3 linked regions of the Xenopus tropicalis genome follow. The protein of the gene in region 1 purifies or fractionates together with the protein of each later gene. This does not show direct contact. Links are inferred from orthologs where the notes say so. Each region holds a gene or a part of one and is shown in the gene's direction. Other genes may lie near its edges.

The links. Proteins that work in one complex are often made in the same cells at the same time.
Region 2: the proteins of ezh1 (region 1) and mtf2 purify together in Homo sapiens (affinity purification with mass spectrometry; 3 studies listed by BioGRID and IntAct, with this or other methods). This does not show direct contact. The link is inferred for Xenopus tropicalis from reciprocal best matches to the Homo sapiens genes EZH1 and MTF2.
Region 3: the proteins of ezh1 (region 1) and aebp2 purify together in Homo sapiens (affinity purification with mass spectrometry; 3 studies listed by BioGRID and IntAct, with this or other methods). This does not show direct contact. The link is inferred for Xenopus tropicalis from reciprocal best matches to the Homo sapiens genes EZH1 and AEBP2.

What each region holds. Positions count from the first base shown.
Region 1 is NC_030686.2:22,246,222-22,254,102, forward strand, and holds part of ezh1 (histone-lysine N-methyltransferase EZH1), read left to right. Parts: intron 1-3,517; coding exon 3,518-3,681; intron 3,682-4,016; coding exon 4,017-4,108; intron 4,109-4,576; coding exon 4,577-4,748; intron 4,749-4,989; coding exon 4,990-5,186; intron 5,187-6,023; coding exon 6,024-6,115; intron 6,116-7,073; coding exon 7,074-7,114; intron 7,115-7,881.
Region 2 is NC_030680.2:104,216,379-104,224,259, reverse strand, and holds part of mtf2 (metal-response element-binding transcription factor 2), read left to right. Parts: intron 1-2,871; coding exon 2,872-3,070; intron 3,071-7,881. UniProt on the Homo sapiens protein: Polycomb group (PcG) protein that specifically binds histone H3 trimethylated at 'Lys-36' (H3K36me3) and recruits the PRC2 complex, thus enhancing PRC2 H3K27me3 methylation activity.
Region 3 is NC_030679.2:760,958-768,463, forward strand, and holds the end of aebp2 (zinc finger protein AEBP2), read left to right. Parts: intron 1-42; coding exon 43-150; intron 151-545; coding exon 546-732; intron 733-2,526; coding exon 2,527-2,651; intron 2,652-3,422; coding exon 3,423-3,490; intron 3,491-3,561; coding exon 3,562-3,675; intron 3,676-3,765; coding exon 3,766-3,820; 3' UTR 3,821-3,834; intron 3,835-4,344; 3' UTR 4,345-4,515; downstream 4,516-7,506. UniProt on the Homo sapiens protein: Acts as an accessory subunit for the core Polycomb repressive complex 2 (PRC2), which mediates histone H3K27 (H3K27me3) trimethylation on chromatin leading to transcriptional repression of the affected target gene.

The sequences.
Region 1 (7,881 bases):
CACGGATGTCAAACTTACAGGCCTATAATTGCCAGGCTGAGATCTTACTCCCTTTTTAAATATGGGAGTGACATTCGCCTTCTTCCAATCCCTAGGTACCATACCTGATGAGAGCGAGTCTGAGAATATCAGAAACAAGGGCCACTGCAATTCTGCCCCTAGCTCTCTCAGTACCCGAGGGTGTATTCCATCTGGCCCCGGTGCCTTGTTTACATTTATCGTGTGTAACCCTTTAAGCACCATATCCTGTGCCAACCACTGTGTAGTTGGAGCTGAGGCAACAGTGAAGCTATTGGGTGGGACTTGGCCCACTGGCTCCTCTACTGTATACACAGAAGAAAAGAACTGGTTAAGCACATCTGCCTTTTCTGTATCCGCTGTAACCATATTGTTATTATAACTCAATGGGGCCACACCCTCAACCTGCATCTTTTTACTATTAATATACTTAAAAAACTTTTTGGGGTTAGTCTTGGCCTCGGCCGCGATGCGCTCCTCATTTTCTATCTTTGCCTTCCGGATTGCTGTTTTAAACACTTGTTATAGTGTTTATATTCATTAAGCGCAGCTACTGTCCCCTCTGACTTATATTTCTTAAAAGCTTTCCTTTTTTCCCCTATTAACTTCTTTACCTCAGAGTTAAGCCACATAGGGTGATTCTTAACACTTCTACTTTTTCTTATTAATGGAATGAATTGAGAACAGTAATGATTTAATATCATTTTAAATGACAACCATTTCTGCTCTGTATTTTTATCAGAAAATATAATGCCCCAATCTATGCCCTGAAGCGCTGCCCTTAAGGAGCTAAAATTTGCCTTCCTAAAATTCAGTGTCTTTGTTGCCCCCGTGTAAATTTGTTTCCTGCACCAAACATCAAATGAAATAACATTATGTTGTTTACATTTATCGTGTGTAACCCTTTAAGCACCATATCCTGTGCCAACCACTGTGTAGTTGGAGCTGAGGCAACAGTGAAGCTATTGGGTGGGACTTGGCCCACTGGCTCCTCTACTGTATACACAGAAGAAAAGAACTGGTTAAGCACATCTGCCTTTTCTGTATCCGCTGTAACCATATTGTTATTATAACTCAATGGGGCCACACCCTCAACCTGCATCTTTTTACTATTAATATACTTAAAAAACTTTTTGGGGTTAGTCTTGGCCTCGGCCGCGATGCGCTCCTCATTTTCTATCTTTGCCTTCCGGATTGCTGTTTTACAACACTTGTTATAGTGTTTATATTCATTAAGCGCAGCTACTGTCCCCTCTGACTTATATTTCTTAAAAGCTTTCCTTTTCCCTATTAACTTCTTTACCTCAGAGTTAAGCCACATAGGGTGATTCTTAACACTTCTACTTTTTCTTATTAATGGAATGAATTGAGAACAGTAATGATTTAATATCATTTTAAATGACAACCATTTCTGCTCTGTATTTTTATCAGAAAATATAATGCCCCAATCTATGCCCTGAAGCGCTGCCCTTAAGGAGCTAAAATTTGCCTTCCTAAAATTCAGTGTCTTTGTTGCCCCCGTGTAAATTTGTTTCCTGCACCAAACATCAAATGAAATAACATTATGGTCACTATTACCCAGGGGTTCAACCACTTGCACATTTGCTATACGTTCTGGGTCATTAGAGATCACTAGATCTAGTATAGCATGGTTCCTGGTTGGCTCCTCAACAACCTGTGACATAAAATTGTCGTGCAGCATGTTTATAAACTTGTTCCCATTTACTGTCCTGGCAGTACTATTGCCCCAGTCAATATCAGGGTAATTAAAATCCCCCATTATAATCACTTGCCCCAAACTAGCAGCCTTTTCTATTTGCAACAGGAGCTGGGCCTCCTCCTCTTCGCTTACATTAGGGGGTCTATAGCATACCCCTACAATTAGTTTGGTAGATTCTTTACTATCTGTGAGAAGCTCAACCCATAAGGATTCAGCTCCCTCTGTTCCCCCCATAACTTCCTCCTTAATATTTGCTTTTAAGTCGTGCTTAATGAACAGACACACTCCTCCTCCTTTTCTATTGCCCCTGTCCCTCCGAAACAATGTATACCCCCCAATATTAACTGCCCAGTCATGAGACTCATTCAACCAAGTTTCAGCAACACCAATCACATCATATTTCCGCTCCAACGCCAGTACCTCCAGCTCTCCCATTTTACCAGTCAGACTCCTTGCATTGGTAAACATACATTTAATACTGGTTCCGGCGTGTAAACGTGTAAACGTGTAAACAACTTATGGGCCTCCCTGCCATTATCAGTATCCTGAAGCAAGTCTCCTCCCCCAATTTCCCTTACTGTGCCCACTACCTCATCTATCCTGTCTACCACAGAATTTCCCGCTGCACCCTCCCCCCCCACTCCTAGTTTAAAATCTCCTCCAACCCTCTAGCCATCTTTTCCCCCAAAGCAGCTGCCCCATCATCATTGAGGTGCAGCCCATCCCTGGCAAAGAGCCTGTAGCCGATTGAGAAATCAGCCCAGTTCTGGAGAAACCCAAAGCCCTCCTCCCTGCACCAATCTCTCAGCCACGCATTAATCTCCCTGAGCTCCCGCTGCCTTCTTAATGTTGCTCGTGGCACAGGTAATATCTCTGAGAAAATTACCTTGGAAGTCCTCGCCCTCAACTTTGCACCTAGCTTTTTAAAATCGTTCTTGAGGACTTCCCCCCCTCCTCTAACTTTGTCATTGGTACCTATGTGTACCAAGACCGCCGGGTCTTCCCCAGCCCCTCCCAACAATTTGTCCACTCGTTCCACCACATGCCGAACCCTAGCACCAGGCAAGCAACACACAGTTCGGCATGTAGGGTCTTTGCGACAAATTACCCTATCCACCTTTCTAATAATTGAATCCCCTACAACTATAACCTGCCTTCCCTTCCTAGCACTACTCCCCCCACCTGTATTAGAGGTGCCGGCTCCCAGGGTGCTCTGAGAGTCAGCCTGCTCCATACATGCCAGCTCAGAGCTGCCTTCCCCAGCATCTTCACCTAACGCGGCAAATCTGTTGGTTTGTACAAGCTTTGAACCAGCCCCCCTACCCTTGTGTCCCCTACTTCCCCTCTTAACTGTTACAAATTTGTCTCCCTCATTAACCTCCACTGTCCCTTTCCCCCCCCCCACTACACCGGCCCCTGCCAGTGGTTGCTCAGTGAGCCTCCTGTTCTCCCCCATGCTTGCAGCTGCCCTCAGTGCTGCCAGTTCCCCCCTTAGACTCGAATATTTAAATATCCATAACTGTTCTGGTTATTGGAAACAGTGCCATGTTGGTTTTAGACTAACATTTGAATACCAACATGACCAGTCCAAATTATGTAGCTGGTGTTTCCTTGATTCTGTATTCTTTGGATGTAAAGAACATTACATGGTTTATAAGGCTTCTGTAACAAAGACAAACAATGACATGCTAAGAGAGGTGCTTTGCTCAAAACATAGTTCTTTGTACTTTGTTTCTCTAGAAAACTATGCACATGTTCCTTTTACTTTTTCTTACCAAGGTACAAAGAACTGACAGAAGCCTATGATCCCAATGCATTGCCTCCCCAGTGTACTCCTAACATTGATGGACCATGTGCCAAATCTGTGCAAAGGGAGCAGTCTCTTCACTCCTTCCACACCCTATTCTGTCGCCGCTGTTTTAAGTATGACTGCTTTCTACACCGTAAGTTGAACAAAAGTAACATTTGTGAATGTACAAGACCCTATGTAGCATCAACTAAGCTTGAGCAGAATGTAACATTGATAAAGGGGAACTTACCACTGCAGTCCTTGCTGTGTAGTAAAATGTGCTAAGGGCACTGCATAACTACTGCACAAGAGAGTGTGGATTTAAATGTATATGTGACTACTACAACCTCTTCTATTAAATGAATCTGTTTTATTGCCATTTTTGTGTTTAATAACTTCTTTCTACATTGTTTTTTTTTTTTTTGTTTGATTTCACTTACTGTATAGATATATTATAATATATATAATAATATATATATTTTGTTGCAGCATTCCACGCAAGTCCTAATGTATACAGGAGAAGGAATCGAGAAATAAAGATTGAAACTGAGCCCTGTGGAATTCATTGCTTCTTGTGGCTGGTAGGTTGACCATTCAAACAGTGATATCAATTTATAGGACTCTTTTATGTTTATTGGTAAAATAAATTATTTGTATAGATTTTGGTAAAATTGTTTAATGTATTGGTTAAAAATTATATCTGAATGGTGCAGTAGGTCAAAATATAGGCAATTCAGGGGGCCACCTGTGGCCCATGGCTCTGTAGGGTTGCTCTGTCTGCTCTTTCTGCTTCCTGGATCCCCTTTAGCCATTGGCTAGAAATGCTATAACTACTTAACATTTGTAAATATAAATCCCAGCACCTTTAGATATGCATGAGAAAGTTTTATAAAACACATGGCAGAAAGTTGGTTATTTGAAAACTTGTTTCCTTAACCCATACACGCATTGTCTGCTCATTCTGTAAATAATGTGTATACCAGTGGGTTCTACCAAAGGCTACAAACTGTTGCTTCATTTTTCCGTTCATCCTTATTATTCATGTCCAGGAAGGAGCAAAAGAATATGCTATGATGAACAATCCCAGATCCAAATGCTTGGGAAGGCGTCGCCGGAAAACCACAGCCCTTGCTGCCTCTGGCTCAAACTCTAATGTAATGGAGACTAAAGAGGGGGACAGTGATCGAGACACTGGCAATGACTGTGCTTCTAGCTCTTCAGGTGATGGAAGAGAACCACTCTCATGAGGTTTTCAGAAAGCTTAACCCAAAATAAAGACCAGTGTAACATGTACAGGACTTTAAGTAAAAAAATTATGAATGCAAAGTCTTGTTTGTGTCTAATTAGTAGAGTATATTGTGCCAATATCAAAATAGTAGATGTAGAATGTGGTAAAGAGAAAAGGAAACACAGGAAGAAAAGGGAAGTCACCTTTTAAAAATGGGTTTTCCTGATATTGCAGAAGCAAATTCACGGAGCCAAACCCCTACCAAACAAAGGCAGGGAAGCCTAAGTGGGGAGCTTCCAGATGTGTCTGAACCCAGTGAGCCAGTGGAATGGTCTGGAGCTGAGGAGTCACTCTTTAGGGTCTTCCATGGAACTTACTTCAACAATTTCTGTTCCATTGCTCGTCTAATGGGCACCAAGACATGCAAGCAGGTTGGTGGGAATTATTGCTCTGGGTGCAAATGATCTGCAACAACTTATTTAAAGTTAGTTATACTATACTCCTATGATATAGCTGAGTCTAGGAAATGAATAATAGTGAATATTCTGCCAATTATTCTGCAAACAATATTCTATGAATATTCTGCAAACAAAAGCTTTTGATCAAATATTTTAGCTATGGCTGAGGTTGTCAGTGCTGATTGGCTCTTGTTATTTGAATTGGTTAGATAAGAAGACACTCTAAGAATCTAGACACATTGCACAATAGGTTCTGTGCTTCTCTTGCCTAAAAATGCATAGTATATTGTATATTGTAATAGTTCAGAGAAAGGGCAATATAAGTGCAATTCTTAGATCATTTTCATTTATTGTATCCTTTTCATTTATTGTATCATTTACACAGGGATCTCCAACATCTTTTACTTGTGAACCACACTCAAATGAAAAAAGTGTTTGCAATAAGGGCTGTTATTGGCTATTTGGTCTATTTGATAGCTCTGTGTCCAATTGCTAGCTTGCAGGAGGCTCTGCTTCAAGTAAAACTGTGTCACTGTGCTTCCAAGCCACAAATTTAAAAATTGTGCTCCTACTTTGGGGCCACTGGGAGCAACATTGTTTGGGTTGGGGATCACTAATTTACAAAATTTCTGGGCATACCCCTTCATCAGGTAGGGCGATACGTCCCTTGAAATATTGTAATTGATACAATAAACGCAAAATCACTTCTCTTATTTAAACAAACTGCGTAAAATGAAATCTTCCGGATAACATACTAGAAGTATGTAGATAGCTTGATTTCTAATTCATTCTTATTGGGTTTTGTCAAAGGTTTTCCAGTTTGCTGTGACAGATTCCTTGCTCTTAAAAGTGCCAGCAAAGGAACTAATGAGCACTGCACAAAAAAAGAAACGGAAGCACAGGTACAGCTAAGGTGTTAAAATTGTAAAGTTTTGTAAAACTGAAAGGGGACCTGTCACCTTAAGAAATAATTCCATATTGTTTTCTATTGTGTTTGTCAAGCAAAATAAACTTTACTTACACTATATAAATTATTTTAATCATATTTTCTTCAGCCTTGGAATTCACAATTGCAGTAAGCAGGCAGGCTCCATTTTGTGGACACTGTTATCAATCACTGTTGCAATCCTGCCAAAATCTTGTTTCTGTGCCAGTATGGGGGACCTGATGCCCATATCCATGCACTGGTTACACAATTAAATGGTGCGGAGGGAGGGGGAATGTGAGGAGGGCAGCAACATCTAAGAAGTTCTGAATTGAAAGTGAAAGTATCTCTCTGCCCCACCTCTATGCCTAAGGCATAGAGGCGGGGCAGGCAATATATGATTGACAGCTGGGATTTTTAAATGCTTTTATAATGGGTTTGGATGTGTTAATAAAAAAATGATTTGGGGTTTCTTGTTTAATTTGAAAGGGCTTTTATTATACAGCTTTTTATGTCTGGGTGACAGGTCCACTTTAAGTCAGTGTCCTGTTTGTGATCATGAAAGAAATGCAGTTGTTACATTTGGTATTTAAAGAATTTTATAATCTATAGCAGTTTAATTAAATTGGGGCAATGCAACAATGTTAGATGACTAACTTTGCACCTTGTGTTGTACATAAAAAAAAATAAGAAAATAATGAACAAAAATATGTTTTGATCAACATTTTTCACTTTTTTTGCAATAATGCTATATATTTTATACATTTCTTCAGTTTCCTGTATTAGGCACTGTAAACTGTGGCACAGAAACACAGATCTGTTTCCAATTAGGTTGAAAGGAAGGGCAAGTTATAAATAAGGCAAAAAAAGGAAAATGTTGTTCATACAAAAAATATGTAAGATTCTATTGTAATATACTTTTCTTTCCCCTGTAGATTATGGGCAGCTCACTGCAGAAAGATACAGTTAAAAAAAGGTGAGATTTTTTTGACAATCAGTATTTATTACCTGCATCTTGTATGCATGAAAAGCTGTTAGTATGAAGAAGAGGGGAGACAGATGCGCAACTAGTTCAGCTGATAACTTGTTCCAGGGGACTATATGAAGATTTCTTTATATGAGATTCAGTTTTAATTCATTGCACAACTGTTCAGTTGGATAGAGGTCAGGGCTCTGTGCAGGCCAGTCAAGTTCTTCTACTCCTATTACAGCAAACCTATGATACCCTCTGCCCATGTAAATAAGAGCCTTTTTGTTCTGAAACAGCAAAAAGCCTTCCCAAAACAGTTAGTTGCCTGTGAGCCTTTCCCAAGCTCTAGCCTTAAGGTTTGCTTTTAGTAAAAACTTTAGTAAGGCCCAAACCATGGAAAACAACCCTGAATCATTAATAAGCCTCCACCAAACTTTACTGTTCTCCTGGCATCTGTGAAATCTGCACAGTTAAATGCCATTTATCACCCTTGAGAACACCAGGTTGAGGGTGTGGCCCCATTGAGTTATAATAACAATATGGTTACAGCGGATACAGAAAAGGCAGATGTGCTTAACCAGTTCTTTTCTTCTGTGTATACAGTAGAGGAGCCAGTGGGCCAAGTCCCACCCAATAGCTGCACTGTTGCCTCAGCTCCAACTATACAGTGGTTGGCACAGGATATGGTGCTTAAAGGGTTACACACGATAAATGTAAACAAGGCACCGGGGCCAGATGGAATACACCCTCGGGTACTGAGAGAGCTAGGGGCA
Region 2 (7,881 bases), on another chromosome or scaffold:
CAGTTGAGACCTATAGTTTGATAGCCCATATGTTCACTGGCAGCCTACAAAAGGTTCGGTTTGGCAATTACACTGGGTTTTTATGCAATCAAAGCTTTCCCCCTAATCAGAAATTCAAAAATAATTACCTACTTTGAGGCCGCTGGGAGCAATGTCCAAGGCAAGGGGTTGGTGAGCAACATTTTGCTCATGAGCCACTGGTTGGGAATCACTGAAACAGTGACATGCTTTTTATTCAGCAGCTCTCTAGTTTCAGCAAATCTTTCAGGGGCTGTGTGGGTTGTGCAGCGTTTTTAGGCGGAGAAAATATGCAGCGTAAAAACGCCACGTCTGGCATCAGCTTAAGGTCCAATTTAATCTAACCTCTAGGTGATCTGAATGAGAAGAATGGAAAATGAATCAAAAAGGGTCTGGATAGAAAGATTAGTGATTAAAAGTAAAAATAAAACGTACCTTCATTGAGCATCATTTTTTCCACTGCAGTAACGAGGCACAAGAGGAAAGCAAATAATTAAACAAAGTTGTAAGAAAAATAAAGACCAATTTAAGAACTGCTAGGATTAGACCATTCTGTAACATACTTAACGTTAAGTGTGAACTAACCCTTTAAAGAAAGCAATTTTGGGTACCTGAAGTCAGCAGGCAAAAATGTACCGACTCCACCTATTATATTTAAATTGTAATGAAAAACAAACAATGTTACACTGTCCTATTTCACAGATAAGTCATAATATAGTACTTCTCTGCTGTAAAGAATAAAGCCCAGTGCATAGTTGTTTCACTAGTGTGAAGTCCAGCTGAGCTGCTATTTTTTTTTTCTTTTGTTTAAACTTTTTAGGTTTAAGAAATGTTTATAGTTTCTTAAATAAATAAAAGGAAAAGCCACAATGTTGTGGCTTAGTTATAGATTTAGACCCAAAGTTGAACAGTATCCTCCTTTATCTTGGGAGTGACAGGCTTGGATGGCCAATAGGATAAATTGCCAGCACACACTGGCCTCTCAAGATAATAAAGCCTTGTGCACAGTGTGGAGGGACAGCACCCCCCTGGTACATACAGTGACAAAATAACACCAATGCTCCTACAGTCTGTCTGAGGTATGAACAGGTGAACAATGTGGGTGCTTACAGTCTGAGCCTGAGATGCAGGGAAAAAAGGTGTGAACAACATGGGGGATTACAGGTGTAAACAATACCAGAGTTTGGGGGTGCCAGTTGGACAGCACTGATATGAGCAATACAATGTAACTAAGAATAAAATTGTAGCCGCACAGACCAATAGTTGTTTGTCTTCGGGGGGTCTGTGATCCAAACATCTAAAAGACTGAAAGAGGCAGAAAAAAGGCAAACCAAAAAAAAAAAAGTGAAGACCAATTGAAAGGTTGGTAAGATCAGGGAATTCCATAGCATACTTAGTTAACCTTAAGTTGTATCTCTTCAAATAAAGTATTTGCTTGTAATCTTTTGCATTACTATAGTCTCTATTTTGGTGTCGAGAGAATGCTTTGTAATCCAGGTCCAATATTCTTCTGTCCATTATTTTATCCACCAGTACCTTTATGCACGGAGGCTTACACAAAGGCTGTTCAGTTAATAAATCTATTTCATATACTTATATACATATTATTACAATAACAAAAAAATTGTCCTTGTTTTTAGTAACAAGTTTAGGATACTTAAATAGAAACCTATGACCACAATATTTAACACATCACAAAACATTAAAACACAGTTAATGTGTTTTGTAATTGTGCCTATATTTTGCAGATAAATAGTAAAATAGATGTAGCAAACTTCATAAAGGAAGGTACTTTTCCGTTAAACGCTGTGTGCGCCTGATAGTGAGATCAGCAGACATGCAATTTAAGTTTTGATGAGATTTCAGGGAACGGTTGGAATCTAGTTTCAAGATATTTCTTAGAAACACTGAGTTCTGTGGTATTTTTCAGCTGTACATTTAATGCAAGCCTTGTGACTGTGGTTCTTTTCAGTGGTAAATGCACCTGCTAAGTATCATGGTACCACAGGATTTAGAATTTCTGGGTTCTAAAGCAAGGTATTTGATACTATCTGAAAAATAAGATTGAGTGAATCATTGTAATAATCATAATAATGCTTGTTCTTGTGTCTGTATGTATACTTAATCACCCATTCTTAGAATACTACAGGCATCACATTATGTACAGTTAGAGCAAAGAGAGACGGGGAGATTAGTCGCAATTTAAAAAAAAAAAAAAAAAACTAGTAGCAGCAGCGCTTCCTTTGTTTTCAAACATTCATGTCTGTGTGCTAAGGAACTGGTGTGGCCAATTAGTGACTCCTTCTAGATTTTTAAAATCGCAGCAACTAATTGGCCTGTTTGTTTTCACCCTTAGGAGCATAGACTTTGTATTCAGTGTATTAATTTTGTATGCAAGATAATCCTCTATCAAGCAAGGCACCTACCTCCGATGTCTGTGGAGTGTGGATGTTTTATGTTTTTGTTCACATGGAGAAAACAGTGATAGAACGCCATACATTGCATTGTATTACTTCCTACTAGATTAGATGAGGCTAATTAACAAAAAAAACCTTACAATTTAGTTTACTAAACATTTGGGCATATTTTATAATGTAGGTGCTAAACTGCACCCAAACAAATTACGTTATGGCAGGATGGGAAAAAAACCGAGCCAGGTGGGTAAAAAATGATTATATGCCTCTCCCACCCTAATAGAACTATTTTTCACAGATGCCGATAGTACTGTGTGCTACCTGCTACCTTTGTATTGGAGAAATATTGCAAAATCATTTTAAGGATTGTTCACAAATTTAATAATTGGTATCTGTTTTTAAGATTTCTCATTTATGATAACTTATGTTTTCTAATTAGAGACGCAACTGTGGTGGGCAAGTCATTGGTCCTTAAAAGATCCACTTTCCGTCGACATCCAAAGGCTGTTGAGTCCTTGACCAAGCTGTGTGTACGGCATGGAACGATACCTAAGAGACAAATATGTAAATTTGAAGAAGGTCAAGATGTCCTAGCAAGATGGTCAGATGGATTGTTTTATCTTGGAACTATCAAAAAGGTAGCATTTGTAGTCATGCTTTTACTTGTCATTTTCTCAAGTCCTTTTTCCTCTCTCACAACAATTGACAATTCTATTGTTTCTGTCGAACAATAGACATTAGACAATATTGCGTTTTTAATGGGTGTAAAAGCACCCCCCAACATAAACAAGAAGGGGTTAGCAAATTAGCCTACATACGTGTGGTTGGGCATGATGCTTGTGAGAACACATGGGTGTAAATTGAGGTTAGCTGGGTGTACATAGGCATAGGAACAAAATCTCTTAGTAATGTTAAAGGGATACTGTAATCAGAAAACATTTTTTTTCAAAAAGCATCAGTTAATAGATTTCAATGCTAGATTTTCAAAAACACAAAGATTTTTTTTATATTTAATATTGAAATTTCACATGGAGCTAGGCATGTTCTTCGTTACCCAGGGTGCCACAACCATGTGACCTGTGCTCTGATAAACTTTGATCTCATTTTACTGCTGAGCTGCAAGTTGGAGTGATACCACCCCCCCTCCCAGCAGCCAATCAGCAGAACAATGGGAAGGCAGCAAGATAGCAGCTCCCAATAGATATCAGAATAGCCCTTAATAGTAAGAAATTCAAGCCCGGATAGGGACTCCTTTTAGGGCTCTGGTACACGGGGAGATTAGTCGCCCGCGGCAAAACTCCCTGCTCGCGGGCGACTAATCTCCCCGAGTTGCCTTCCCTCTGCCATCCCACCGGCGAACATGTAAGTCGCCGGCGGGATGGCAGACGCGGCGAGGCGATTTCGCGCAAATCGCCGAAAAAGCCTCGCGAGTCTTTTTCGGCGATTTGCCGAAATCGCGCCGCCGCGTCTGCCATCCCGCCGGCGACTTACATGTTCGCCGGTGGGATGGCAGAGGGAAGGCAACTCGGGGAGATTAGTCGCCCGCGAGCAGGGAGTTTTGCCGCGGGCGACTAATCTCCCCGTGTACCAGAGCCCTTAGTTACATGGGAGTAGGAGAAACAATAGGTTATCTGAAAGCAGTTCTAATGTGTAGCACTGGCTCTTTCTGAAAGCACAATGCACCGAGATGGCTGCCTACGCACCAATATGACAGCTAAAAAAAGATACATTTGTTGGTTCAAGAATAGCATTTTTAAATGGTAGAGTGAGTTATTTGCTATGTAAACTGTGTATTTTAGTAATAAAAAGTATATCATAAAAATCATGATAGTATCCCTTTAAGTAATGACCATCAGTTTGGATGTGCCTTTGGCGACCCGGAGGCATTAGCCAGCAGTTGGGGATCAACCAGACTGTGATTGCTCTCAGTACAGAAACTGAGAAGGAAAGTTGGATCACCATTTATATAGTGTCAATAAAGGCCATATTTGGTACTCTTGTGCATTCCAGCATGTTAATCTATGCAAAAGCTGCTCTTATGAAGAATAAACATTTAAGGTACTTTATTTACCTGTAAATGGTATAGAATGAAATTATAGATCCGTCTAGTCTTCAGTCAAAACTTACGCTTGTGGTAACTGCATCTTCTTTTTGCTTGCATATTTCAGTTGGTGGAGAAACAAAATAAATCCTCTGTGCCACCTGTCATTGATGTAAATGAAACAGGGCTGTGGAGTCGGTAGATCCGAATCCGAAGTTTCTGATACTTCCGACTCCACGACTTTGACTCCTCTGTTTTTAATATGCTAATGTATTTTATACATCCAGGAAGGGGAAGGGGGGAAGGGGTACTTAAAACACAACTGAACTGATAATAAACTGATAGACAATTTTATCTATACTCCTACTCCTAATGATTTCCCTAGAATCCCATAGTCATGTTTAAAGTTTAAGCTAACATTACAGCTGAATTACAGCATAAAGGAACAGTAACACCAAAAAATAAAAGAGCTTTAAAGTAATAAAAATATAATGCACTGGTAAAACTGGTGTGTTTGCTACAGTAACACTACTATAATTTATATAATAAGCTGCTGTGTAGCCACGGGGGCAGCCATTCAAGCTGGAAAAAAGGAGAAAATGCACAGGTTACATAGCAGATAACAGACAAGTTCTGTAGAATACAATAGTGTTTTATCTGTTATCTGCTATGTGCCTGTGTCTTTTCTCCTTTGAATGGCTGCCCCCATGGCTACACAGCAGCTTACTTATATAAACTATAGTAGGGTTTCTTTTAGGGCTGGGCGATATACCGTTTAATACCGAATACCGGTGTTTTTTTAAAAAACTATATTCATTTTTCAGATACCGCAATACCAGGGTGTCGGGGTACTCACCCGTGTGGCCCGGTCTCGCGCCTCCTTGCGTGCGCGCGTCCCATTGTCCACGGGACATTGCGTATGCGCGTCCAGGTGCTTGTGCGTCAAAGCGCACGTACATGTCAAAGCGCTGCACGTCCGTGACGCGCTGGTGGCGCCGGTTCTGCGCATGCGTGGGGGGTATTTAAAGCTATCAAACGCCTCCTCCTGTGCTATGTTGTCTGCGGCCTTGCCTGGGAAACTAAGCCTGCCTGATTTACCTTACGACTTTCTGTTGCCGATCCTTCGCTTGCCTGACTCTGATTTTCAATACTGCAGTAATTCTCTAATTTATTAGGAAATGGGGTTAACACCTAATCATGCATGGAAAAAAAAAATACCGTCAAATACTGTGACACCGATATAATTTTGAAAAATACCGTGATATAAATTTTTTGTCATACCGCCCAGCTCTAGTTTCTGTGGCAAACACCCCAGCTGTACCAGTGCAGGAATGGCTGCCCCCATGGCTACACAGCAGGGTATTTATATAAACTATAGTAGGGTTTCTGTAGCAAACACCCCAGCTGTACCAGTGCAGGAATGGCTGCCCCCAGGGCTACACAGCGGGGTATTTATATAAACTATAGTAGGGTTTCTGTAGCAAACACCCCAGCTGTACCAGTGCAGGAATGGCTGCCCCCGGGGCTACACAGCAGGGTATTTATATACAGTGGTGTGAAAAACTATTTGCCCTCTTCCTGATTTCTTATTCTTTTGCTTGTTTGTCACACAAAATGTTTCTGATCATCAAACACATTTAACTATTAGTCAAAGATAACACAAGTAAACACAAAATGCAGTTTTTAAATGAGGGTTTTTATTATTTAGGGAGAAAAAAAAATCCAAACCTACATGGCCCTGTGTGAAAAAGTAATTGCCCCCTGAACCTAATAACTGGTTGGGCCACCCTTAGCAGCAATAACTGCAATCAAGCGTTTGCGATAACTTGCAACGAGTCTTTTACAGCGCTCTGGAGGAATTTTGGCCCACTCATCTTTGCAGAATTGTTGTAATTCAGCTTTATTTGAGGGTTTTCTAGCATGAACCGCCTTTTTAAGGTCATGCCACAACATCTCAATAGGATTCAGGTCAGGACTTTGACTAGGCCACTCCAAAGTCTTCATTTTGTTTTTCTTAAGCCATTCAGAGGTGGATTTGCTGGTGTGTTTTGGGTCATTGTCCTGCTGCAGCACCAAAGATCGCTTCAGCTTGAGTTGATGAACAGATGGCCGGACATTCTCCTTCAGGATTTTTTGGTAGACAGTAGAATTCATGGTTCCATCTATCACAGCAAGCCTTCCAGGTCCTGAAGCAGCAAAACAACCCCAGACCATCACACTACCACCACCATATTTTACTGTTGGTATGATGTTCTTTTTCTGAAATGCTGTGTTACTTTTACGCCAGATGTAACGGGACACGCACCTTCCAAAAAGTTCAACTTTTGTCTCGTCGGTCCACAAGGTATTTTCCCAAAAGTCTTGGCAATCATTGAGATGCTTTTTAGCAAAACTGAAACGAGCCTTAATGTTCTTTTTGCTTAAAAGTGGTTTGCGCCTTGGAAATCTGCCACGCAGGCCGTTTTTGGCCAGTCTCTTTCTTATGGTGGAGTCGTGAACACTGACCTTAATTGAGGCAAGTGAGGCCTGCAGTTCTTTAGATGTTGTCCTGGGGTCTTTTGTGGCCTCTCGGATGAGTTGTCTCTGCGCTCTTGGGGTAATTTTGGTCGGCCGGCCACTCCTGGGAAGGTTCACCACTGTTCCATTTTTTTGCCATTTGTGGATAATGGCTCTCACTGTGGTTCGCTGGAGTCCCAAAGCTTTAGAAATGGCTTTATAACCTTTACCAGACTGATAGATCTCAATTACTTTTGTTCTCATTTGTTCCTGAATTTCTTTGGATCTTGGCATGATGTCTAGCTTTTGAGGTGCTTTTGGTCTACTTCTCTGTGTCAGGTAGCTCCAATTTAAGTGATTTCTTGATTGAAACAGGTGTGGCAGTAATCAGGCCTGGGGGTGACTACAGAAATTGAACTCAGGTGTGATAAACCACAGTTAAGTTATTTTTTAACAAGGGGGGCAATCACTTTTTCACACAGGGCCATGTAGATTTGGGTTTTTTTTTCTTCCTTAATAACGTAAACCTTCATTTAAAAACTGCATTTTGTGTTCAATTATGTTATCTTTGACTAATAGTTAATGGTTTTTGATGAGCAGAAACATTTAAGTGTGACAAACATGCAAAAGAATAAGAAATCAGGAAGGGGGCAAATAGTTTTTCACACCACTGTAAATTATAGTAGATTTTCTGAAGTAAACACACAACTTTTACCAGTGCAGGGCATCAGCACATTATATTTTTAGTTACTTTTATACACTTTAATTTTTTGGTGTTACTGTTCCTTTAAACTATTAACTATCCATTCCCTTCACGTATACAAGTATTTCTAGTCCTGCAATTTTTTTTTTACTTAATTAGTTATCAGTGAGAGTTAGGCTAGGTTCACAGTGGGCATTGTGTTCCCTGTA
Region 3 (7,506 bases), on another chromosome or scaffold:
CGTGTTGCTCGGGGCACTAACCCCCGGCTGTGTATGTTACAGGTGTACGTGTGCTACTGGAAGGGCTGCAAGGTGTATAATACCCCATCTACGAGTCAGAGTTGGCTGCAGAGGCACATGCTGACCCACAGCGGAGACAAACCCTTCAAGGTATTGTGGGAACGGCCAATCGGGCAATGTGTAAGCTCCTCCTTCCTGTATAAGCTCCTCCTTCCTGGGAAGGCCCAGCCCATTACTGCTATTGGGCAGCAGCACTGCACTGGGCTAATCCATAATGGGGGAGGAGCCAGAGAGAAGGGGGCTGAGACAGGGGAACAGGCGGTGCTGCACCCACAGATCCCAGCAGCGCCCCAAGGTACCGTCTGTGTCGGGGGGGGGGCCCCAGGGGCTAAATGTCCCACTATAATTGGGGGGTAAGTGCAGGCTGAGGGGCTACACACTGGGGGGCACAGCAGCTGCACATTGGGGCACCTTAGGGCCGACAGTGAGTTTGTGGGGGGGGACCCTGGGCTCGGTACTGAGGCAAAGTCTTGTTTGATTGACAGTGCGTCGTTGGCGGCTGCAATGCCAGCTTTGCCTCCCAGGGCGGCTTGGCCCGGCACGTGCCCACTCACTTCAGCCAACAGAACTCCTCCAAGATGGCCAATCACTCCAAGTCCAAGGAGGAGTCGCCGTCCAAAGCCGGACTGAACCGCAAGCGCAAGCTGAAGATCAAGCGGAAACGCACCCTCCGTAAGTGCCCCCCCTGGTACGGAACCTTCTGTGTTCTCCCCCCCTGGTACGGAACCTTATGTGTTTTTCTCCCCCCCCCCTGGTACGGAACCTTCTGTGTTCTCCCCCCCCCTGGTACGGAACCTTATGTGTTCTCCCCCCCCCCTGGTACGGAACCTTATGTGTTCTCCCCCCCCCCCAGTACGGAACCTTATGTGTTCTCCCCCCCCTGGTACGGAACCTTCTGTGTTCTCCCCCCCCCCCTGGTACGGAACCTTCTGTGTTCTCCCCCCCCTGGTACGGAACCTTATGTGTTCTCCCCCCCCCCCCCCCCCCCCCAGTACGGAACCTTATGTGTTCTCCCCCCCCCCTGGTACGGAACCTTCTGTGTTCTCCCCCCCCCCTGGTACGGAACCTTCTGTGTTCTTCCCCCCCTGGTCGGAACCTTATGTGCCCCCCCTGGTACGGAACCTGCTGTGTTCTTCCCCCCCTGGTACGGAACCTTATGTGCCCCCCTGGTACGGAACCTTCTGTTTCTTTCCCCCCCCCCTGGTACGGAACCTTAATGTGCCCCCCCTGGTACAGAACCTTCTGTGTTCTTCCCCCCCTGGTACGGAACCTTATGTGTTCTCCTCCCCCCCCTGGTACGGAACCTTATGTGTTCTTCCCCCCCCTGGTACGGAACCTTCTGTGTTCTCCCCCCCCTGGTATGGAACCTTATGTGTTCTCCCCCCCCTGGTACGGAACCTTATGTGTTCTCCTCCCCCCCTGGTACGGAACCTTCTGTGTTCTCCCCCCCCCCCCGGTACGGAACCTTATGTGTTCTCCCCCCCCCCTGGTAACGGAACCTTAATGTGTTCTCAACCCCCCCCCCTGGTATGGAACCTGCTGTGTTCTCCCCTGGTATGGAACTTATGTGTTCTCCCCCCCTGGTACGGAACCTTATGTGTTCTCCTCCCCCCACTGGTACGAACCTTATGTGTTCTCCCCCCCCCCCCTGGTACGGAACCTTCTGTGTTCTCCCCCCCCCCCCCCCCCCCCCCCCCGGTATGGAACCTTCTGTGCCCCCCCTGTAAGGCACCAGCCTCTCCCTGTGTGGGCACCAAGCTGCCCCTGCCCTGTAAGGTACCAGGCTGTCCCTGTGTGGGCACCAAGCTGCCCCTGCCCTGTAAGGTACAGCCTCTCCCTGTGTGGGCACCAAGCTGCCCCTGCCCTGTAAGGTACCAGCCTCTCCCTGTGTGGGCACCAAGCTGCCCTGCCCTTAAGGTACCAGCCTCTCCTGTTGGGCACCAAGCTGCCCCTGCCCTGTAAGGTACCGGGCTCTCCCTGTGTGGGCACCAAGCTGCCCCTGCCCTGTAAGGTACCGGGCTGTCCCTGTGTGGGCACCAAGCTGCCCCTGCCCTGTAAGGTACCGGGCTGTCCCTGTGTGGGCACCAAGCTGCCCCTGCCCTGTAAGGTACCGGGCTCTCCCTGTGTGGGCACCAAGCTGCCCCTGCCCTGTAAGGTACCGGGCTGTCCCTGTGTGGGCACCAAGCTGCCCCTGCCCTGTAAGGTACCAGGCTCTCCCTGTGTGGGCACCAAGCTGCCCCTGCCCTGTAAGGTACCAGGCTCTCCCTGTGTGGGCACCATGCTGCCCCTGCCCTGTAAGGTACCGGGCTGTCCCTGTGTGGGCACCAAGCTGCCCCTGCCCTGTAAGGTACCAGGCTGTCCCTGTGTGGGCACCAAGCTGCCCCTCTGTGTCTATGGCTCATTCCCTGTATCTGTGCCCACGTGTGCCCCTTCCCTGGCACTAACCTGTTACGCTTTGCCCAGTAGCCCGACCACATGACTTCTTTGACGCCCAAACGCTGGACGCCATACGGCATCGCGCCATCTGCTTCAATCTCTCGGCCCAAATAGAGAGTCTGGGCAACGGGCACAGCGTCGTCTTCCACAGCACGGTGAGTGGCATCTTCATTCCCGGGGGTCCCATAGTGCCCCTGTAGCCCCGGGGGGCATTGGTGCCAGGGGGCAGATGGGGCAGAACTGTTACAGGTGCCAACTTGCACGGTGAGTGGCATCTTCATTCCCGGGGGTCCCATAGTACCCCTGTAGCCCCGGGGGGCATTGGTGCCAGGGGGCAGATGGGGCAGAACTGTTACAGGTGCCAACTTGCACGGTGAGTGGCATCTTCATTCCCGGGGGTCCCATAGTGCCCCTGTAGCCCCGGGGGGCATTGGTGCCAGGGGGCAGATGGGGCACAACTGTTACAGGTGCCAACTTGCACGGTGAGTGGCATCTTCATTCCCGGGGGTCCCATAGTGCCCCTGTAGCCCCGGGGGGCATTGATGCCAGGGGGCAGATGGGGCAGAACTGTTACAGGTGCCAGTTTGCACGGTGAGTGGCATCTTCATTCCCGGGGGTCCCATAGTGCCCCTGTAGCCCCGGGGGGCATTGGTGCCAGGGGGCAGATGGGGCAGAACTGTTACAGGTGCCAGTTTGCACGGTGAGTGGCATCTTCATTCCCAAGGGTCCCATAGTGCCCCTGTAGCCCCGGGGGGCATTGGTGCCAGGGGGCAGATGGGGCAGAACTGTTACAGGTGCCAATTTGCACGGTGAGTGGCATCTTCATTCCCGGGGGTCCCATAGTGCCCCTGTAGCCCCGGGGGGCATTGGTGCCAGGGGGCAGATGGGGCAGAACTGTTACAGGTGCCAACTTGCTGTGTTTCTAGGTGATCGCTAAGCGGAAGGAGGACACTGGGAAAGTCAAACTGCTGCTGCACTGGACCCCGGAGGACATGTAAGTACCGGGGGCGGGGCTTGGGCCCGGGGTGCTGGTTCCGGTTCTAGCGGCTCCGTCTCTCCCCTCAGACTCCCGGACGTGTGGGTGAATGAGAGCGACCGGCACCAACTCAAGACCAAAGTGGTGCATTTATCCCAACTGCCCAAAGATACGGCCCTGCTGCTCGACCCCAACATCTACAGGTACGGGGGGGGCGCCGCTGCCATGGTAACGGGTCGGAGCGGTTCTGGGGCTTTTGTTTCTCACGTGGTTTTGTCCTTTTTTATGTGCAGAAATTCTAGTAAGCGGAACCCACCGAGCGGGACCCTGAGAGAGCACCTCCCCTAGCTCCGCCCTCGCTGGTTTGTATTCCTTGTCCCGCCCCCAGGCTGGGCTCCGCCCACACCCCTGCAAGTGCTGCTGGGTATTTGGGATGTTTGCCCCATTATGTGTTTGATTAATTAGTGCAGGTGTAAGGAGGCTCGTTAGGCTTAATTATCCGGAAGCTTTGGGCTGCCCTATACAAACATGGCGCCGTGACCAATCGTTAGATATTAGCCCCCCCCCCACTAGCTGTTATTGCCCCCAAATACACAATGGTTTGCCCCCTATCAGTCTGTGTGTTTGTTTAATTAATGCCAGTGCAGGTGTAACGAGGCTCGTTAGGCTTCATTAGCTTTATTGGGCTGCCCTATACAAACATGGCGCCGTGACCAATCGTTAGATATTAATGGCACCAAGTACCAAGGCTTGGTACTGACCCACTCCGGTACCTGTAAGTTATAAAGGACATGTGAATAAGCCCCTCCCCCTGCGCGCAGCAGTGCAGCGAGGCGATTCTTGGCTCTGACTGTGTTTCCCTTGTGTTTCAGGCCGGGCAGAGCGCAGCGGGAGGAGCTGGAGGCGCCACTGTGCAGTCGTGTGGAGCAGTGCACGTTAGTGAGCCCCTCCCAGCAAGTGTCCTATTGGTCGTAGTGTTGTGGAGTGCTCTGTGCCACATACCCCCCCATTCTGTGCGAGAGCCACGTACCCCCCCGGCCCCCCATTCTGTGCGAGAGCCACGTACCCCCCTGGCCCCCCATTCTGTGCGAGAGCCACGTACCCCCCCGGCCCCCCATTCTGTGCGAGAGCCACGTACCCCCCGGCCCCCCATTCTGTGCGAGAGCCACGTACCCCCCGGCCCCCCATTCTGTGCGAGAGCCCAATACCCCCCCCCGGCCCCCATTCTGTGCGAGAGCCACGTACCCCCCCGGCCCCCCATTCTGTGCGAGAGCCACGTACCCCCCGGCCCCCCATTCTGTGCGAGAGGCACGTACCCCCCGGCTCCCCATTCTGTGAGAGAGCCACGTACCCCCCCGGCCCCCCATTCTGTGCGAGAGGCACGTACCCCCCCGGCCCCTCATCCTGTGAGAGAGCCACGTACCCCCCCAGCTCCCCATTCTGTGCGAGAGCCACGTACCCCCCAGCTCCCCATTCTGTGCGAGAGCCACGTACCCCCCCGGCTCCCCATTCTGTGAGAGAGCCACGTACCCCCCCAGCTCCCCATTCTGTGCGAGAGCCACGTACCCCCCATTCTGTGCGAGAGCCACGTACCCCCCCAGCTCCCCATTCTGTGCGAGAGCCATGTACCCCCCCCCCCCGGCTCCCCATTCTGTGTGAGAGCCACGTACCCCCCCCGGCCCCTCATTCTGTGTGAGAGCCACGTACCCCCCGGCCCCTCATCCTGTGAGAGAGCCACGTACCCCCCCGGCCCCTCATCCTGTGAGAGAGCCACGTACCCCCCGGCCCCCCATTCTGTGAGAGAGCCACGTATCCCCTGCGCCCCCCCATTATGTGCGAGAGCCACGTACCCCCCCGGCTCCCCATTCTGTGAGAGAGCCACGTACCCCCCGCGCCCCCCATTCTGTGCGAGAGCCACGTACCCCCCCCCCCCCCGGCTTCCCATTCTGTGCGAGAGCCACGTACCCCCCCCCCGGCTCCCCATTCTGTGTGAGAGCCACGTATCCCCCCCCTGCCCCTCATTCTGTGTGAGAGCCACGTACCCCCCCCGGCCCCTCATCCTGTGTGAGAGCCACGTAACCCCCCTGGCCACTCATTCTGTGTGAGAGCCACGTACCCCCCCCGGCCCCTCATTCTGTGAGAGAGCCACGTACCCCCCCGGCCCCTCATTCTGTGTGAGAGCCACGTACCCCCCCGGCCCCTCATTCTGTGCGAGAGCCACGTACCCCCCGGCCCCTCATCCTGTGAGAGAGCCACGTACCCCCCCGGCCCCTCATTCTGTGCGAGAGCCACGTACCCCCCCGGCCCCTCATCCTGTGAGAGAGCCACGTACCCCCCCGGCCCCTCATCCTGTGAGAGAGCCACGTACCCCCCCGGCCCCTCATCCTGTGAGAGAGCCACGTACCCCCCGGCCCCCCATTCTGTGCGAGAGCCACGTACCCCCCCCCGGCCCCTCATTCTGTGCGAGAGCCACGTACCCCCCCGGCCCCTCATCCTGTGAGAGAGCCACGTACCCCCCCGGCCCCTCATCCTGTGAGAGAGCCACGTACCCCCCCGGCCCCTCATCCTGTGAGAGAGCCACGTACCCCCCCGGCCCCTCATCCTGTGAGAGAGCCACGTACCCCCCGGCCCCCCATTCTGTGAGAGAGCCACGTACCCCCCGCCCCCCATTCTGTGAGAGAGCCATGCCCCCCCCCATGCTCTTCTGGCTAATTAGTGGCGCTGCGTCGAGGCTTTGCATGTCGGCTGCTTTGCAATGTGTTGTTGTACATCGTTTGCCTTCGTTAGTGCGGAAACGTTCGTTAGGGAATCCCGCCAGCCTGATAGGCCCAGGATCCCGTGAGGCCCAGCAGCGATTGGCCCTTTGGAAATGCACTTTTGCCTGTCCTTTATAGAATAAGCCCCTCTGTGCAGAACTGCCCGGGGTTGCGGGGAGTTTAACTCCCAGCTGCTGCGCGTCTGCCCCCCTTCCCCCGGAGCCAAGACTTGGGCTTAGTCAGATAAGGGTTAACAGGCATATTCCCCATTATGTGCCCAATTGCCCTTTAACCCTTTCTAACGATCACCATGGCGTCGCAGTCATGTGACTCAAACCCGCAGCCGCGGCGGCCATTTTGATCCTCCCTTTATAGAGGTAAAATTCTATTTTGATCAGATAAAAAATCAGTTTATTCAGCACCAAAGTTCTGCGATTGCCCCTCCCCCCCGTATATTTTTATGAACTAGACCCCGCCCCCCCCACGCGTCCGTGTGTCGCCGCTATTCCCGCGCCTGTAAATAATCCCGCAGATTTGTAATATATTTTTATAATAATGAATCCGCTAGAATTTTTTTGTTTTTTTTTATTCTCTGTATTTTTAGCATGGAACTTTGTTTGTAAATATGTTAGAATTTCCCAGAATCCCCTGGGGTTGCGCTACTTCTGCCAGAAGGTAAAGGGTTGTTTCCCATAATGCACCTTGTAACAATAAAAACCGTATTCGCAAAGGGACGACGCGCGTTCAGCCAATCAAATGCTGTGTGTGTGTGTCTGTGAATGGCTTCCCGCTAGGGGTGGGCGTGGCCAATGCCGCTGCTTAACAGTCGCAACCAAGGGTGGTACCAAGAGGCGGTTACTTCTGGGAAGGGGCAGTTAATCCAACAGCCCCATTGGCCCTTTGCTTTTAACTAAATGAGCCCTTTTGCCCCTCTGTGGAACATACCAAAGTCCAGGGGTGCCCACCCCCCCCCCCGAGTCTTCCCAGAAACCTTTGCTGCCATAGGGAACAAACTGGATCCAACAGACTCCCTGCAATTCTGCACTTTGCCCACTGGGTGGCAGTGTTGGCCAGATAAGGAATAGATCTGCTCATAGGCCGATCTCCTGGATTCCAGATGGGTCAGTCTCTGGCTGCTGCTATTTTTCTTATGGTTCAAGAATATTTACGATACTTCCCCTTTAAATGAATGTTGCCATGGCGGCGAGTGTGACCCGACCAGGGACCTTTGCACTATTGGCCGCAGGGCGTCTCGTAAACCAACAATTAACGTTAATT